Arabidopsis thaliana: one gene and its partner. Each later gene encodes a partner of the first gene's protein in a complex. Each region holds a gene or a part of one and is shown on either strand. Other genes may lie near its edges. A codon is read from its position in the direction of its gene.

Evidence for each region. Proteins that work in one complex are often made in the same cells at the same time.
Region 2: the proteins of TOC64-V (region 1) and Hsp81.4 are in contact, whole or in part, in a crystal structure (PDB 6HPG), measured with the Arabidopsis thaliana proteins. Residues at the interface, in NP_196504.2 of Arabidopsis thaliana: Lys492 (codon at 5,989), Asn496 (codon at 6,111), Tyr499 (codon at 6,120), Tyr511 (codon at 6,156), Thr523 (codon at 6,192), Asn527 (codon at 6,204), Ala530 (codon at 6,213), Glu534 (codon at 6,225), Val556 (codon at 6,624), Lys557 (codon at 6,627), Leu560 (codon at 6,636), Arg561 (codon at 6,639), Thr564 (codon at 6,648), Glu586 (codon at 6,858), Asn589 (codon at 6,867), Thr591 (codon at 6,873); in NP_200411.1 of Arabidopsis thaliana: Gly692 (codon at 2,087), Ser693 (codon at 2,084), Lys694 (codon at 2,081), Met695 (codon at 2,078), Glu696 (codon at 2,075), Glu697 (codon at 2,072), Val698 (codon at 2,069), Asp699 (codon at 2,066).

Annotation. Positions count from the first base shown.
Region 1 is NC_003076.8:2,924,837-2,933,568, forward strand, and holds TOC64-V (translocon at the outer membrane of chloroplasts 64-V), read left to right. Parts: upstream 1-3,336; 5' UTR 3,337-3,479; coding exon 3,480-3,721; intron 3,722-3,925; coding exon 3,926-4,078; intron 4,079-4,167; coding exon 4,168-4,292; intron 4,293-4,382; coding exon 4,383-4,508; intron 4,509-4,616; coding exon 4,617-4,799; intron 4,800-4,882; coding exon 4,883-5,027; intron 5,028-5,210; coding exon 5,211-5,379; intron 5,380-5,550; coding exon 5,551-5,688; intron 5,689-5,796; coding exon 5,797-5,997; intron 5,998-6,107; coding exon 6,108-6,235; intron 6,236-6,314; coding exon 6,315-6,366; intron 6,367-6,620; coding exon 6,621-6,690; intron 6,691-6,834; coding exon 6,835-6,914; 3' UTR 6,915-7,185; downstream 7,186-8,732. Other genes in the region: EICBP.B (ethylene induced calmodulin binding protein), read left to right, coding at 1-56, 385-1,073, 1,234-1,816, 1,916-2,260, 2,333-2,455; AT5G09430 (alpha/beta-Hydrolases superfamily protein), read left to right, coding at 7,326-7,982, 8,074-8,166, 8,259-8,326, 8,409-8,526. UniProt on the Arabidopsis thaliana protein: Chaperone receptor mediating Hsp90-dependent protein targeting to mitochondria.
Region 2 is NC_003076.8:22,675,542-22,683,422, forward strand, and holds Hsp81.4 (HEAT SHOCK PROTEIN 81.4), read right to left. Parts: upstream 4,612-7,881; 5' UTR 4,527-4,611; coding exon 4,404-4,526; intron 4,145-4,403; coding exon 4,003-4,144; intron 3,896-4,002; coding exon 2,061-3,895; 3' UTR 1,797-2,060; downstream 1-1,796. Other genes in the region: HSP81-3 (heat shock protein 81-3), read left to right, coding at 5,869-5,991, 6,295-6,436, 6,536-7,881. UniProt on the Arabidopsis thaliana protein: Molecular chaperone which stabilizes unfolding protein intermediates and functions as a folding molecular chaperone that assists the non-covalent folding of proteins in an ATP-dependent manner.

The DNA of each region.
Region 1 (8,732 bases):
GTTTCACCATAGTTGATTTTTGGCCAAAAAGTGCAAAGACAGACGCAGAAGTTGAGGTAATTTCACTGTACATATTTGGAAAAATTGATTGGTGATGTACCATTCTATTAAGATGGTTAAGTTTGTTTATCCATTTTCCAGTTTCCAAATAATTTTTGTGGTTAAGACTTTGAAGCAATTGCAAAATATTTCGTGCTATATTTTTAGCTGGGTGCTGGGGTTTAAAGTCCCTTATTGATGTTCATGCAGCAGTTTCATTTTGATGATCCTGCTTTCTCATTATTTTTATTAGTAATGCTTTTTCCGTTTTGCTGATTTCGCTCTCTGTTTTGGTTGTTTTGTTGTGGTGACTAATTTCTTTTTTATGTATCACTCTATTTGCAGGTCATGGTTATTGGGACATTTCTACTTAGTCCGCAAGAAGTAACTAAATATAATTGGTCATGCATGTTTGGTGAAGTGGAAGTTCCTGCTGAGATTTTAGTAGATGGTGTTCTTTGCTGTCATGCTCCACCGCATACAGCTGGTCACGTCCCCTTTTATGTTACATGTTCCAACAGATTTGCTTGCAGTGAAGTACGAGAATTTGATTTCCTTTCTGGTTCTACCCAAAAAATCAATGCTACAGATGTTTATGGTACCTATACAAATGAAGCATCACTTCAGTTGCGGTTTGAGAAGATGCTTGCTCACAGGGATTTTGTTCACGAACACCATATATTCGAAGATGTTGGGGACAAACGAAGACAAATCAGTAAAATTATGTTGCTAAAGGAGGAGAAAGAGTATCTCCTTCCAGGGACATATCAGAGAGACTCAACCAAACAAGAACCAAAAGGACAGCTTTTTAGGGAACTGTTTGAAGAAGAACTATATATATGGCTCATACATAAAGTGACTGAAGAGGGTAAAGGTCCAAACATATTGGATGAAGATGGACAGGGTATTTTACACTTTGTTGCAGCGCTTGGGTATGACTGGGCCATTAAACCGGTGTTAGCAGCAGGAGTTAACATTAACTTCCGTGATGCCAATGGCTGGTCTGCCCTTCATTGGGCTGCGTTTAGTGGCAGGTATGGACCTCTATCTCACATATCTTCAATTTCCTTTAATCATAATATTATTATTTGAGATTTTGCATTTCGTTTAAGATGCTCACATTGATGATGCTTTAACTCTATTATTTGGTCAACATTGCCATATCAAACTAACTCCTTTTCCTGTTAACTATAGGGAGGAAACTGTCGCTGTGCTTGTCTCTCTAGGTGCTGATGCTGGGGCATTAACGGATCCATCTCCAGAGCTTCCATTGGGTAAAACAGCAGCTGATTTGGCTTACGCAAATGGACACAGGGGAATTTCGGGATTTCTTGCAGAGTCTTCCTTAACTAGTTATCTTGAAAAGCTAACAGTGGACTCAAAGGAAAATAGCCCTGCCAACTCTTGTGGAGAAAAAGCTGTTCAAACAGTCTCTGAGCGAACCGCTGCTCCTATGACCTATGGCGATGTACCAGAGAAACTTTCCTTGAAGGATTCACTTACTGCTGTCCGTAATGCTACGCAAGCGGCTGATCGTCTCCATCAAGTATTCAGGATGCAATCATTCCAACGGAAACAGCTGTGTGATATTGGCGATGATGAAAAGATTGATATCTCCGACCAGTTAGCTGTTTCTTTTGCAGCTTCTAAAACTAAGAATCCAGGACAGGGTGATGTCTCTCTTAGTTGTGCTGCTACCCATATCCAGAAGAAATATCGTGGTTGGAAGAAGAGAAAAGAGTTTCTTTTAATCCGACAAAGAATCGTTAAAATTCAGGTTTGCCTTTCATTGAGTTTTTTTTTCTCCCCCTTATTTCTTTGCATAAGTCTTTTGTCTGGTTTCTCATTGCTGGAATCATATTACATTTACCTTTAGGCTCATGTGAGAGGACATCAGGTCCGGAAACAATACCGAACAGTCATCTGGTCTGTGGGATTACTCGAGAAAATCATTTTGCGTTGGAGACGCAAAGGTAATGGTTTGAGAGGGTTTAAACGCAATGCAGTCGCCAAAACCGTGGAACCGGAACCGCCTGTATCAGCTATATGTCCTAGGATCCCACAGGAAGATGAGTATGATTATCTTAAAGAGGGAAGAAAACAAACAGAGGAAAGGCTACAGAAGGCTCTGACTCGTGTTAAGTCGATGGTTCAATACCCAGAAGCACGGGATCAATACCGTAGACTCCTAACGGTTGTTGAGGGCTTCCGTGAAAATGAGGTACCCAAGACCCATAACATAATCAGTTAATCATATTTTGTTGAGCATTCTTGTGATAAATTGTTGTTGCAGGCTTCATCAAGTGCATCTATAAACAATAAAGAAGAAGAAGCAGTCAACTGTGAAGAAGACGATTTTATTGACATTGAGTCTCTTTTGAACGATGACACATTGATGATGTCTATTTCTCCTTGATTTTACTTTCTGACTCGTATTCATTTTTCCTTCTTTTACTTTCTAACTTTATTTCTTCTCTGTAAATACCATAGTTGATATTTACCGCTTAATTTATTACTTGGATTGAAATAGAATTATTCACTATTTTCTTTCGTCTTAACAATATATAACTTTTTTATTTGTTCATTTGGCTTTTCTCTGCTAATATTATATAGCCAAGTGTTGGATTACTCTGATTCATATTTGTATCCGTATTGAATATTCTTCTCTTTATTAGCTGTTTTCTGCAATTTATACATCATATTTGTTTTGGTCAAACTCATACATCAGTCATATTGTTATAGTTTAAATTTGAATGGTAGTATGATATTGAGCTAACTTTTAAAGGTTATAAATCCGGGTCGACATGCCATTTTATCTACCAAATTTGGATTGGTAAACCATTAAAGCTATAAAAAAAACTTAACTTGGATTTTCCTATAATCTGAAGATAAAATTGGATTGACGGGCAAGGCTACAGAAAATGGAAACTTAACAATAAATTATAGCAGTATATATTTTAATTTTTTCATTATTATATTGAGGTTTTTAGTGGCTTGACTAGCTTAAAATCTATTTTTCCACGAGTGGAAAAGTTCATTAAGAGAAGAAATGGCCAACAAAAGAAATTATAAACCTAAATCAATTTGTACAAGCTTATTAAAAAAAATTGAAACGAGTAATTCTAATAAATAAAGGAATTAAAATTAAAATTTCCATTTTTCTTAATTTAATTTTTTTTTTTAATTTCTTTATCGATTTCGTAAAGACAATTATTAATCAATCAAAAAGAGAAGATTCGCCTTGGGCAGACGGACTTGAGTTCACGGCTGGCCAAGTCATCACTCGTAATTAAAAGGGTTTAGACACAGTGCGCACGATAGCATCTGTGTTTGCTTCTTCCAAATCTCTCTCCTATTTTTCTTTCCCCTTTTCTCTCTTAAACCCTCCTAAAACCCTTGTCTCTCTCTCTCTCTCTCTCTCTTTCTCGTGAGATCGCGTTATGTCGAATACGCTTTCTTTGATTCAAAGCAATGCCTCGAATCCCAAAGTTTGGGTAGTGATCGGCGTGACGGTGGCCGGGATCGTGATTCTGGCGGAGACCCGGAAGCGGCGGATTAGAGCCCTTAGAGAAGAAGACTTTGGTGCTTTCTTAGATCGTTTCGAGCTTCTTCCTTTCCCTCCGCCTCCTCCTCCTGCTGCTAAACAATCTCTCTCTGGTCTTACCTTCTCCATCTCCGACGCGTATGTATCTCTCTCTCTCTCTCTCTCTCTCTCTCTCTTAAAAATCATAACCTATTTTCAAATTTGTTTTTTCCTGCTTTATATAATGATCTCGCTTATAAAGTTCAAAACTTTTGTTTGGTTTAATTGAGATTTTGACTTGCTTAGACGAAGTCATGTTGCAATGAAATGAATAAAGTTATATCGGGGTTAATGGTTTGACAGGTTCGATGTTAAGGATTATATCACAGGATTTGGTTGTCCACAATGGAAGAAGACTCATGAGGCTGCTGAGAAAACTGCTGTGGTTGTCACGACGCTCTTGAAAAATGGAGCTACTTGTGTTGGCAAGACTATAATGGATGAGCTGGGTTTTGGGTATCTCTCCACTCCTACCATTCTGCATATGAAATGACCTTTCGGTAGTTGGTTTGAAGAAAGTTTGTGTTTTGAATGTGATTTTACAGGATTATTGGAGAAAACAAGCACTATGGAACTCCTATTAATCCATTGATGCCAGATAATGTTCCTGGAGGATGTTCCAGTGGCTCAGCAGTTTCTGTTGGGGCTGAACTCGTTGACTTTTCACTTGGTATTGTTAATCTCTTCGTTTTCTCTTGGTAATGTGTTTCTTGGATTACGTTTGGTTCTTTATGCTAATCAAAAGATGCTTGATTTGCAGGGATTGATACCACTGGTGGTGTTAGAGTCCCAGCAGCCTTTTGTGGTATTCTTGGTTTTCGACCATCTCAGGGGACTGTTTCTTCAGTTGGAGTTTTGCCCAATTCTCAGAGCCTAGAGACTGTTGGTACGTTACATTCCCCTCCCTTTTAGTGTTTTTAGTGTAGTTTCAATGGTACATGCTACTCTAGGTGTTTGCCTTCCTGATTATTGAACTCATTGATTCGTTCTGTAGGATGGTTTGCCTCTGATCCATCCGTTTTGTGTCAAGTTGGACATGCCTTACTAAATCTGAGTGCAGTAACACATAGAAGGCAAAGATCTTTAATCTTTGCTGATGATTTATTCGAGCTCTCTGACATTCCTAAGCAAAAGTCGGTGCAAGTTGTCAGAAAGGCAATCGAGAATCTATCTGGCTGTAAGTTTGCAGCTGTATTGTTTCCTTCTCTTTGCCCTTCTCCAGATTCATATCTTATGTCTCTTGACCACTGGCTCATGCAGACAAGACTCCAAAACATGTTAACGTTGGCCAATATGTCGCTTCAAATGTACCAAGTCTTGCGGAATTCTGTGAGCAATCTGGGAAATCCCAAAATTCAGCATCAACTTTAAGGGCTCTTTCATCTGTGATGTTGGCTATACAAAGGTATTTAAGAAGCTCACACTTCTTGAAATTTTCACTGCATCAATACTTTTTTCTCTCTCTCGTTCCTTTTAAACGGGTGCAATAAAAGATTGTTGTTATTCCCTCTTTGCTGGAGGTTACTATTTTCTTCTTAAGTTGTATTATATGCAAATATCGAAGAAGAAAGGATTTTCTTTTTACCAGGCATGAGTTCAAAACAAATCATGAAGAATGGTGGCAAACATGCAAATCGTTTCTAGGGCCAAGATTTTCCAATGATGTTGTTACAGCTCTGAAGAGCAAAAACGAGAGCATTAAATCCCTCTACAGAGTGAAAAATGAGATGCGGGCCACCATTCAAAGCCTTTTAAAGGTAAACTCGATTTTTGGAAATTTAAAATTTTCACAGCCATTAGTGTCTTGAGGACATTTTGCCACCAAAACACTGAAGTCTGAAGAGATTGAATTATTAACTTTCATTTTTGCGGCTTCTTTTTAGTTCTATGGTATTATGATTAACCATAGATCGGTATCTTATTACTAGGAAGATGGAATTCTGGTAATCCCCACAGTTGCTGATCCCCCTCCAAGGCTTAACACAAAGAGAAATAAATCTTTGAATGAGTTTCTTGATCGTACTTATGCACTCTCCTGCATTGCAAGCATGTCTGGATGTTGTCAGGTATATTTCCATCTCCTCTTTCTCATTCAATGGTTGGGGAACATTCTTGTTGCCTTTTCCTTACTCTTCAGTCTTTAGTCATGACACAAATATATACATATTCTTCAGGTTACAATTCCTTTAGGGGAACATGGTGATCGTCCAATATCCGTGTCGCTTCTTACTTACTATGGAGGTGATAAGTTCCTTCTCGATACAACTCTCGATGTATATGCATCCCTTCAAGACCAAGCCAAACTTGCATCCAACTTAGCTCCAGTGTCTGACACCAATGGTAACATGGAGGCTTCTGAAGTTATGAAAGAAAAGGTAAAACTATCTCTTTGAGTTTGACAAATAGTATATTTGGTTCTGATCCATGATATGCTACTGGAGTTGGAATGTTCTCAAAGTTAACAGTGGATAAAATGTAATTCCAGGGCAATGCTGCATACAAGGGGAAACAATGGAATAAGGCGGTAAACTTTTATACAGAAGCTATAAAATTGAATGGAGCAAATGCTACTTATTATTGCAATAGAGCTGCAGCTTTCTTGGAACTTTGCTGGTAATTGTTCTCTTCATATCTTTCATTCTGATCTGAATATAATTTATTATGATTTTCTGATCTGAGAGTTTGTTTATAGCTTCCAACAAGCCGAACAAGATTGTACCAAGGCCATGTTGATCGATAAGAAGGTGAAAACTTGATTAGCTGCCTTATTTCTCCATCCCTCGTAGTTTGTTTTGTTACATTGTGTTTTTAACATGGTTTTGTGTTTAAGTACACTTGAGCTGGAACAAAACTATTCACTTTTTATTTATTTGATTTGCGGCGTAATACCTTTGTACTATGACTATCTAGTTTCATTATCACTCAGATCACTCACTATAGACACAATGACGCATTATTTGGAAGCTTTGATTCTTATAATAGTTATTTGTTTCTACAGAATGTGAAGGCATATTTGAGACGAGGGACTGCTAGAGAATCACTTGTACGGTACAAGGAAGCTGCTGCAGGTATGATGATTAAACTACTCTGAGATTGTAATTTTATCACATTGGAGAAACTTGTTAAAAGATAAAATTCATCTAGCTATCCAGATGAGTTACTCTCTCTAGTAGGGTATTGGAGCGTAACATTATGGTTGATCATCTCTGCAGATTTCAGGCACGCATTGGTCCTTGAACCACAGAACAAGACGGCAAAGGTTGCTGAGAAGAGACTCCGAAAACACATATGAGTTAAAAAGGATTATTACTCGATTTCTCTTGTTCACCAATCTATCTTTTCACTTATCTAAAACCCTAAAAAGGAAAGGTTTTGCTCCGGTTTCAACAGACTAATAATTTAGTGGTTTTGTGACATGTGTACAGATTGGGATGAAAACTTCTACCTCTAATTACTTGATCTGAAAAGTTTTATGGGGTCCTTTTAGCTTCTTTGTTTTCTTAACGGTCTTTTACGTAAATTACAATTTCCCCCAAGTCCAATACTGTAATTCCTTAAATTACACGGAGGGACCCATAAATGACACGTTTACAATCAATTTCTCGACAAATAACTGAATTCGTTGTTTGTTTTTTTCCTCTTCGTCATCGTCACGCCTCCGTATCTTCTCCTCTGTTTCATTTTTGAATTATTCGAATCAAAAATGTTTGATCATATGAAACTGCTGCGATGCTTCAGCTTCACGGCGTCGCGAGATTGGTTATTCCGGCAATCATTCGCAAACGCCGGTCTACGTTCCGTAACGACAGATCTCTCCCACGGCAATTCAATCGCATCAACAGCTATGCATTGTTGGATTCCTAAATCCCCGAATCGATCTAAACCTAATCTCCTCCTCCTCCACGGATTCGGCGCCAACGCAATGTGGCAATACGGAGAACATCTCCGAGCTTTCACCGGCCGATTCAACGTCTACGTTCCCGATCTCCTCTTCTTCGGGTTATCATCCACATCGGAACCAAACCGAACCGAATCTTTCCAGGCTCGGTGTCTGATGAGGTTAATGGAAGCGCACGGAGTCCAGAGGATGAACATCGTCGGGATTAGTTACGGTGGATTCGTTGGGTATAGTTTAGCGGCGCAGTTTCCGGAGAACGTTGAGAAGCTTGTGCTGTGCTGCGCAGGGGTTTGTTTGGAGGAGAAAGATATGGAGGACGGATTGTTTAAGGTGCCGAATCTAGAAGAAGCTACCGGAATTTTGATTCCTCAGACGCCGGAAAAGCTTAAGGAACTCATAAGATTCTCTTTCGTTAAACCAATCAAAGGTGTTCCTTCGTTTTTTCTCTGGGATTTTATCGATGTAAGTTTTTTCCTTTATAATAATGTCTTTGTTTGTTTGTTTGTTGATAAATGTTGGAGTTTTGAGAAATGTTGTTCAAAATGTTGAAAAGGTAATGTGTACGGAGTTTGTAGAGGAGAAGAGAGATTTGATCAAATCAATACTCAAAGATAGGAGACTTTCTGATCTTCCTAGGATCAAACAGGTACAAACCTTTATTCGGATTTTAATTTGCTTATGTAAATTTCGCAGTTCCTATAACATTGTGTGTATGTGTGTGTTTATTGGTTGAATTAGAAATCGTTGATCATATGGGGAGAAGAAGATCAAATATTTCCACTGGAACTAGGTTACAGATTAAAAAGGTAAACAACAACATGTATATTAACTATAGAGATTACCCTCTGTATTTTTTTATGTGTTTATAATAATTGTATGGTGAAACAGACATATAGGAGAGAGTGCAGAGATAGTGGTGATCAAGAAAGCAGGACATGCTGTGAATTTGGAGAAGTCCAAGGAATTTGTCAAGCATTTGAAATCTTTTCTCATTGACTCTTTGTGAATTACTTTTTCCTATAATATCAACCATTTTTATTTTTACACTATTCTTCAATATATAGGTGATCTTTCTTTCTTGTCTAAAAGCTTAAAACATCAACTGTCTATTAGGAAATTATGTTAGCTGTTAGATCACAAATACGATTATTTTATCCACGCCAGATAGAACTTGACAACTGCAGAGCCTGAGTTATACAATCTACAACAAAA
Region 2 (7,881 bases), about 20 Mb from region 1:
TTGAAAATCAATTTTATGCTTTAAACCACAAAAACTTTAAATTTGGACCTTTTACATTTGGGTTTCAATTATTGTCTACATGTTTTCATAACTATGCTCACACAAATAACTAAAATCTCCTCATAGGAAAAGATTAATTGGTTTGAAAGAATAAAAAGAGTATAAAAGATTATTTTTTATGGTTAAAAAAATATGAGAGATTTGCCTTGGAAACGATAGCTAAAATCCAAAGAAACTATGTTTGATTTAACTTCGAGCTTCGATCACAGAAATGTCGAAATTGTTAGATGTAATGAAGCTAACTTTAGTTTGAAGCATCACCATGTAATGTTTTATCTGGTCGGAGAGAATTTGTTTTTGTTTATCGGGGAAATTAATTTATAAGACCAACTAAAACATCAAGCTCATTCGATCTATTAATGATTGATTGATGTTAATGTGCTTTTAAAGTTGAATTAAACACATGATAATCATATTTTTAGCGATTTAAATATAAATCATATGTAAATAATTAATGAGAACTAATGATAATTGTTTTAAACAATTTATAGTCTTCAACATAAATATTAACTAAAAATGCTATTTAAAACAACTTTGTAGAAACTCTACAATAAAACAATTAATTCTCTTGTTTATTGTAAGGAAGAAAAATAATAGATTATAACTCTAAACTATATAAAATTAAAAAAAATTAGAAAAAACTACAAAAATTAGTATTTTAATTATTAAAATTCAAAAATAATTTCAACAAAATATCATGTAATAACATGTAAACTAGGTAAATACTTGTCTGTTGCACGGCAATATGCCATCACAGTTGTTTGTTATAGTTAATTTGGCTATTTCAAGCTATCATATATTAATATATTACGTAAGATGAGTATTTGTAAAGTTTTAAATTTATGGTTTATTTTGGAAAATTTTATCAACTGTGTATAGATAAACGTATACAACATTATATTATAATAGAATTCTATCATTACATATATTTTAATCATCTTATATATAGTTGTTTGTTACATATAGATAATTGTATATTTTCTATGGTACAGTATAATATAATTTGTATGTGTGTCAATCTTAGGTCCATGTGCCAAGAAATTGTTCTATATTATGTAACCAGGGGCGGAGGCAGTTATATAGGAGGGGGGTCAACTGACCCCCATGACATTTATAAAAAAACTTTTTTAAAGTTTATTCGATAAATCATTTGGCTTCAAATCTCTAATATGACCCCCATGCGTTGAGATGAAATCTCCTCTTTGCACCCTACGTCGTATTTTTTTTCTCTTTAATTCATTTAATGTTTTTACGATTTCATTATAATTACAAATTTTGTATCTGCATCTGATTCAATTAACCTGGAATTTGCATCTTTTTGCCAATTATTGTTTCAATTTTCTTATAATTATTTTATATATGGCTTTAAATTAAAAATAATATGGCTTAAGAAGCATAAATTAATCAATATACTAAAGAGATATTGAGAAAATAAGTTATATATATTTCATAAAAGTTTTTTTCTTACTATTATTTTTGATTAGTTTCAAAAATAGAAAACGATGAAAATGCTGAAGTTACATGTATATCTTTTACAAAAAAATAACTATATTATTTTCAAAACAACTATAATTAGTGGGGTTTATAGCAATAATGATATGTTTCTTAGCTTTCTTTTATTAAAAACATGTAATAGCAAAAATAATTTTTAAAAAGATCAGCAATAAAATTTATTTTAGTTAAATAAACACTAATATTGTTATATACTTACATTAATATATGACCACTGTATGTAACGGTTTTGTGTGAGATATGATTAGCGTAATTCTGGTTAGCAAAATATGGTCATAACTAAGTTATATGACCTGACAAAAAATCAGCTTGGATTTGCTAGAAACAGAGTTCCTTTCGCATAAAAAAATCTTTTTCATAAAACCGAGTTCAGAGAAAAAGCTTCAAGATAAGAAAGAAACTACAGCAGAAAAAAATTCTCAAAGATATGTAAAACGATAGAACCAAAACTCTTAACACCGCTAATATTAGTCGACTTTGTGCAATATTTAGTCGACTTCCTCCATCTTGCTACCTTCAGCATCAGCATCATCTTCAAGCGGAGGCATCTCAGCATCAGCTTCAACGGCATCATCCTCTTCAATGCTCAATCCAAGCTTCAACATCCTGTGGATTCTGCTTCCAAAAGTGTTGGGCTCATCAAGGCTGAAACCAGAGGTGAGAAGAGCGGTCTCAAAGAGAAGAAGCACAAGATCCTTCACAGACTTATCGTTCTTGTCCGCTTCAGCTCTCTTTCTCAGCTCATCCATGATCGAGTTCTCTGGGTTAATTTCCATTGTCTTCTTGCTTGACATGTAACCACCCGTGTTGCTATCCTTCAAAGCTTGAGCTTTCATGATCCTCTCCATGTTTGCAGTCCAGCCATACTCGCCTGTTACTAGACAGCAAGGTGAGTCCACCACACGGTCAGAGACGATAACCTTCTCGACCTTGTCTCCCAAAACGTCCTTAATCACTTTGCAGAGTCCCTCAAACTTCTCCTTGAGCTCTTCTTTCTTCTTCTTCTCGTCATCAGTCTCTTCCAGCTTCAGACCTTCCTTGGTTGCAGAGACAAGCTTCTTTCCCTCGAATTCCTTGAGCTGACCAATAGCATACTCATCAATAGCGTCAACCATGTAGAGGACTTCGTAACCCTTCTTCTTGAGCTTCTCTAGGAAGGGAGAGTTCTCCACGGCCTTTTTGCTCTCACCGGTGATGTAGAAGATCTCGTTCTGACCTTCCTTCATCCTTGTCACGTAGTCCTTGAGACTGGTCAATTCATCACCGCTCTTGGTTGAGTGGTAACGGAGCAACTCAGCAATCTTGGTTCTGTTTTGGGAGTCCTCGTGGATGCCGAGCTTCAGGTTTTTAGAGAAAGCCTCATAGAACTTGTTGTAGTCCTCCTTGTTCTCGGCAATCTCAAAGAAGAGCTCAAGACACTTCTTCACAAGGTTCTTGCGGATGACCTTGAGGATCTTGTTCTGCTGCAATGTTTCTCTTGAGATGTTGAGAGGAAGATCTTCAGAGTCAACGATACCCTTGACAAACCCAAGGTAATCAGGGATGATGTCTTCACAGTTGTCCATGATGAAGACACGACGGACATAGAGCTTGATGTTGTTGGGCTTCTTCTTAGTGTCAAAGAGATCGAAAGGAGCTCTCTTGGGAACAAAGAGGATAGCTTTGAACTCAAGCTGTCCTTCAACAGAGAAATGCTTCACAGCCAAATGCTCCTCCCAATCATTGCTCAAACTCTTGTAGAAAGCAGCGTACTCCTCCTTGTTGATCTCCTCTGGCTTCCTCATCCAGATAGGCTTCTGTTTGTTCACCAAATCCCACTCATGAGTAACCTCCTTAATCTTCTTCTTTTTCTTCTCCTCCTTTTCTTTCTCCTCATCAATTTCCTCAACCTTGCCTTCCTCATCCTTCTTCTCTTCCTCCTCTTCATCATCAGAGATCTCCTTCTCAATGGTCTTCTCAATCCAGAGAGAGATTGGGTAGCTGATGAACTCAGAGTGCTTCTTCACCAAATCCTTAAGCCTTCGCTCCTCAATGTACTCCATCTGGTCTTCCTTGAGGTAAAGGATCATCTTTGTTCCTCTACCAAGAGCCTCACCAGAGGTGTCTCTGGTCACCGTGAAAGATCCACCGGCCTGAGACTCCCACACATACTGCTCATCGTCGTTGTGCTTGGTAGTAACAACAACCTTGTCAGCAACCAAGTAAGCAGAGTAGAAACCAACACCAAATTGACCAATCATGCTAACATCAGCTCCAGCAGCCAATGCCTCCATGAACTCCTTGGTACCAGACCTTGCAATTGTTCCAAGGTTGTTCACCAAATCTGTACAATAGAACAAACACGAATCAGCAAACACAAATCAAACACATAGATAATGGTTTTGAATGAAATCAAGTACAACTTGCTTTTGAATGAAATCAATTACGTACCAGCCTTGGTCATCCCAATACCACTATCGATAATGGTCAAGGTGTTGTTAGTCTTGTCCGGAATGATATGAATGAAAAGCTCAGGCTGACCATCGAGCTTGCTCTTATCCGTCAAGGACTCGAACCTAATCTTGTCCAAAGCCTGTTTCACCAGAATAAAAAGCTCAATCATAAGTAACAAAATACACACAACATATATACAATCAAAAACTAAGTAATCTAACAAATTTGAACATGAAAAGGTTCCATCAATTAACAAACGAAAATCTCAAATCGAAAAGAACACTAAACCCTAATAAAACCTAAATCTACACATAGATCCGTCAAATCAATCGAAGGAGATACACAAACACATTAAGCTTAAAGATAAACATAGAAAGACAGAGAGGGAGAGATCGTACATCGGAGGAGTTACTGATGAGTTCACGGAGGAAGATCTCCTTGTTGGAGTAAAAGGTATTGATGATGAGGGAAAGCAACTGGTTGATCTCAGCTTGGAAAGCAAAGGTCTCTGCGTCCGCCATTATCGTTGATCGGGAAAAAAATCTAAGAATTAGGGTTTATGTGAATCAAAAAGCAAATTCTTAAGAGAAGCAGAGAAGTATTGATGGTTTGATTAAGGGGGAAAAGTGTGTAATATATAGGGGATGTGGAAACAGACGTCATAATATAATGGAAATTGTAAAATATAAAAATTGTCATAATATTTTACTTTCCTTTTTTTTGGAACAAGTGCTACTTACTTTTTTTTTTTTTTTTTTTGTTAAATTTTTCTATTAGCTAAACTAATCAATAAAAACAATGTTTTTCTCCATATACAAAATTCGATTTTGTTATGGATTTGAATTTACAAGTTCCCATTCATTCTAGTTTATCTATGTTTAGATTTTTTTAGATCGGTCCTAGTTTTGGGTTATTTTTTGAAATCGATAAAGTTAATCCCTTAGTTTCAAGATATCTCAAAATTTTATTTCAAATTTTAGTTATGTATTTAATTTATAACAACAAGATAAATAGTTGTGTTAAAAAAAAAAAAAAAGTTTTAATCAATTCTGAAGTTAAAAAAAAAAAATCAATTTTTTCTCCCCACAAACCCCACGCTTTTTAGAGAATATGTGTTTCTTTTTGTTATTGTTTTAATTTATTTATTTTACAACTTTCAATATTATTATTTAATTATTGATTTTTTTGAAACTTTATTAAAAGATACACATACCAATCTGTAAACAGGAAAAAAAAAGTTGTAAGCAAAAAATAAAATTATTGCTTTGTTTTTAAAATAGTAAATTATCATCAATAAAATAAAATAGTAAATTACAAAATTAACAAAAAAGGAAACTAAAACCTGTTACAAAAAAGTAGTAAATTACACCTGTTCTGCAAAATAAAAAGGGAGTAGAATTAAATCTGACTGTTTTTTATAAATAGTAAATTATCATCAACCAATAAAATAAAATAGTAAATTACAAAATTTAACCAAAAAAAAAAAGAAGTAAACTAAAACCTGTTACAAAAAGTAGTAAATTACACCTGTTCTCCAAAATAAAATAAAAGGGAATAAAATTTTAAAAAATTTAATAAAGTTTTGTATTTTTCTACCAAAAAATAGTTTTGTATTTTGTAATTTCCATTTAATTATATTGCAGATTATGTGGACCTGAAAAGCAAATTAACATAAATCAAATAGGAAGGATCTAGAAACCCTTATAGGTTCCCAGTCCCCACACCACTATATATAATAACATCCTTCCCCAAAGTCTCGTATCAATCAACACTTCTCTGCTCTCTAAAGAAAATTTTGCTCTCTTTATCTCTCGATTTGATTCATAAACCCTAGCTCTTAGATTTTTTTTCCGATCAACGAGAATGGCGGACGCAGAAACCTTTGCTTTCCAAGCTGAGATCAACCAGTTGCTCTCCCTCATCATCAATACCTTTTACTCTAACAAGGAGATCTTCCTTCGTGAACTCATCAGTAACTCTTCTGATGTACGATCTCTATCTCTCTACACCTTATTTTATACTTGTCTGTCTCGTTTGATTGATCTGGCTGTTCGATCTGTAGATTTAGGATTGATTAGGGTTTAGTGTTCTAGCCGATTTTAGAATTTTGGTTGGTAATTGAAGTTGCGAAGCTGTTTGTGTTCAAATCTGTTGATTAGTTTTAGTGTTGATACCAACGATTAAGCAGACTCTTGTTAGATTTACAAAGTTTGCTTATATGTAATTTGTATATACGTTCTGTGTATTGGTTGGTTACTTACGATTGTGATTTTACTCTGGTGAAAACAGGCTTTGGACAAGATTAGGTTTGAGTCCTTGACAGACAAGAGCAAGCTCGATGGTCAGCCAGAGCTCTTCATTCACATCATTCCCGACAAGACTAACAACACCTTGACGATTATCGATAGTGGTATTGGGATGACCAAGGCTGGTACGTAATTGATTTCAGTCAAAAGCAATTTGTATTGGTTTTCGTTGATTATTTATGTGTTTGGTGTGTTGGCTAATACGTTTTTGTTTTATTTTTCAGATCTGGTGAACAACCTTGGAACAATTGCAAGATCTGGAACCAAAGAATTCATGGAGGCGTTGGCTGCTGGAGCTGATGTTAGCATGATTGGACAGTTTGGTGTTGGTTTCTACTCTGCTTACTTGGTTGCTGACAAGGTTGTTGTTACTACCAAGCACAATGACGATGAGCAGTACGTGTGGGAGTCTCAGGCCGGTGGATCTTTCACCGTCACCAGAGACACCTCTGGTGAGGCTCTTGGTAGAGGAACTAAGATGGTCCTTTACCTCAAGGAAGACCAGATGGAGTACATTGAGGAGCGAAGGCTTAAGGATTTGGTGAAGAAGCACTCTGAGTTCATCAGCTACCCAATCTCTCTCTGGATTGAGAAGACCATTGAGAAGGAGATCTCTGATGATGAAGAGGAGGAAGAGAAGAAGGATGAGGAAGGCAAGGTTGAGGAAGTTGATGAGGAGAAAGAAAAGGAGGAGAAGAAAAAGAAGAAGATTAAGGAGGTTTCTCATGAGTGGGATTTGGTGAACAAGCAGAAACCGATTTGGATGAGGAAGCCAGAGGAGATCAACAAGGAGGAGTACGCTGCTTTCTACAAGAGTTTGAGCAATGACTGGGAAGAGCATTTGGCTGTGAAGCATTTCTCAGTTGAAGGACAGCTTGAGTTCAAAGCTATCCTCTTTGTTCCCAAGAGAGCTCCTTTTGATCTCTTTGACACTAAGAAGAAGCCCAACAACATCAAGCTCTATGTCCGTCGTGTCTTCATCATGGACAACTGTGAAGACATCATTCCTGAGTACCTTGGGTTTGTCAAGGGTATTGTTGACTCTGAAGATCTTCCTCTCAACATCTCAAGAGAAACATTGCAGCAGAACAAGATCCTCAAGGTCATCCGCAAGAACCTTGTGAAGAAGTGTCTTGAGCTCTTCTTTGAGATTGCTGAGAACAAGGAGGACTACAACAAGTTCTATGAGGCTTTCTCTAAGAACCTGAAGCTCGGTATCCATGAGGACTCCCAAAACAGAACCAAGATTGCTGAGTTGCTCCGTTACCACTCAACCAAGAGCGGTGATGAATTGACCAGTCTCAAGGACTACGTGACAAGGATGAAGGAAGGTCAGAACGATATCTTCTATATCACTGGTGAGAGCAAGAAGGCTGTTGAGAACTCTCCATTCCTTGAGAAGCTCAAGAAGAAGGGTATTGAAGTTCTCTACATGGTTGACGCTATCGATGAGTATGCTATTGGTCAGCTCAAGGAATTCGAAGGAAAGAAGCTTGTCTCTGCAACCAAGGAAGGTCTGAAACTGGATGAGACTGAAGACGAGAAGAAGAAGAAAGAAGAGCTCAAGGAG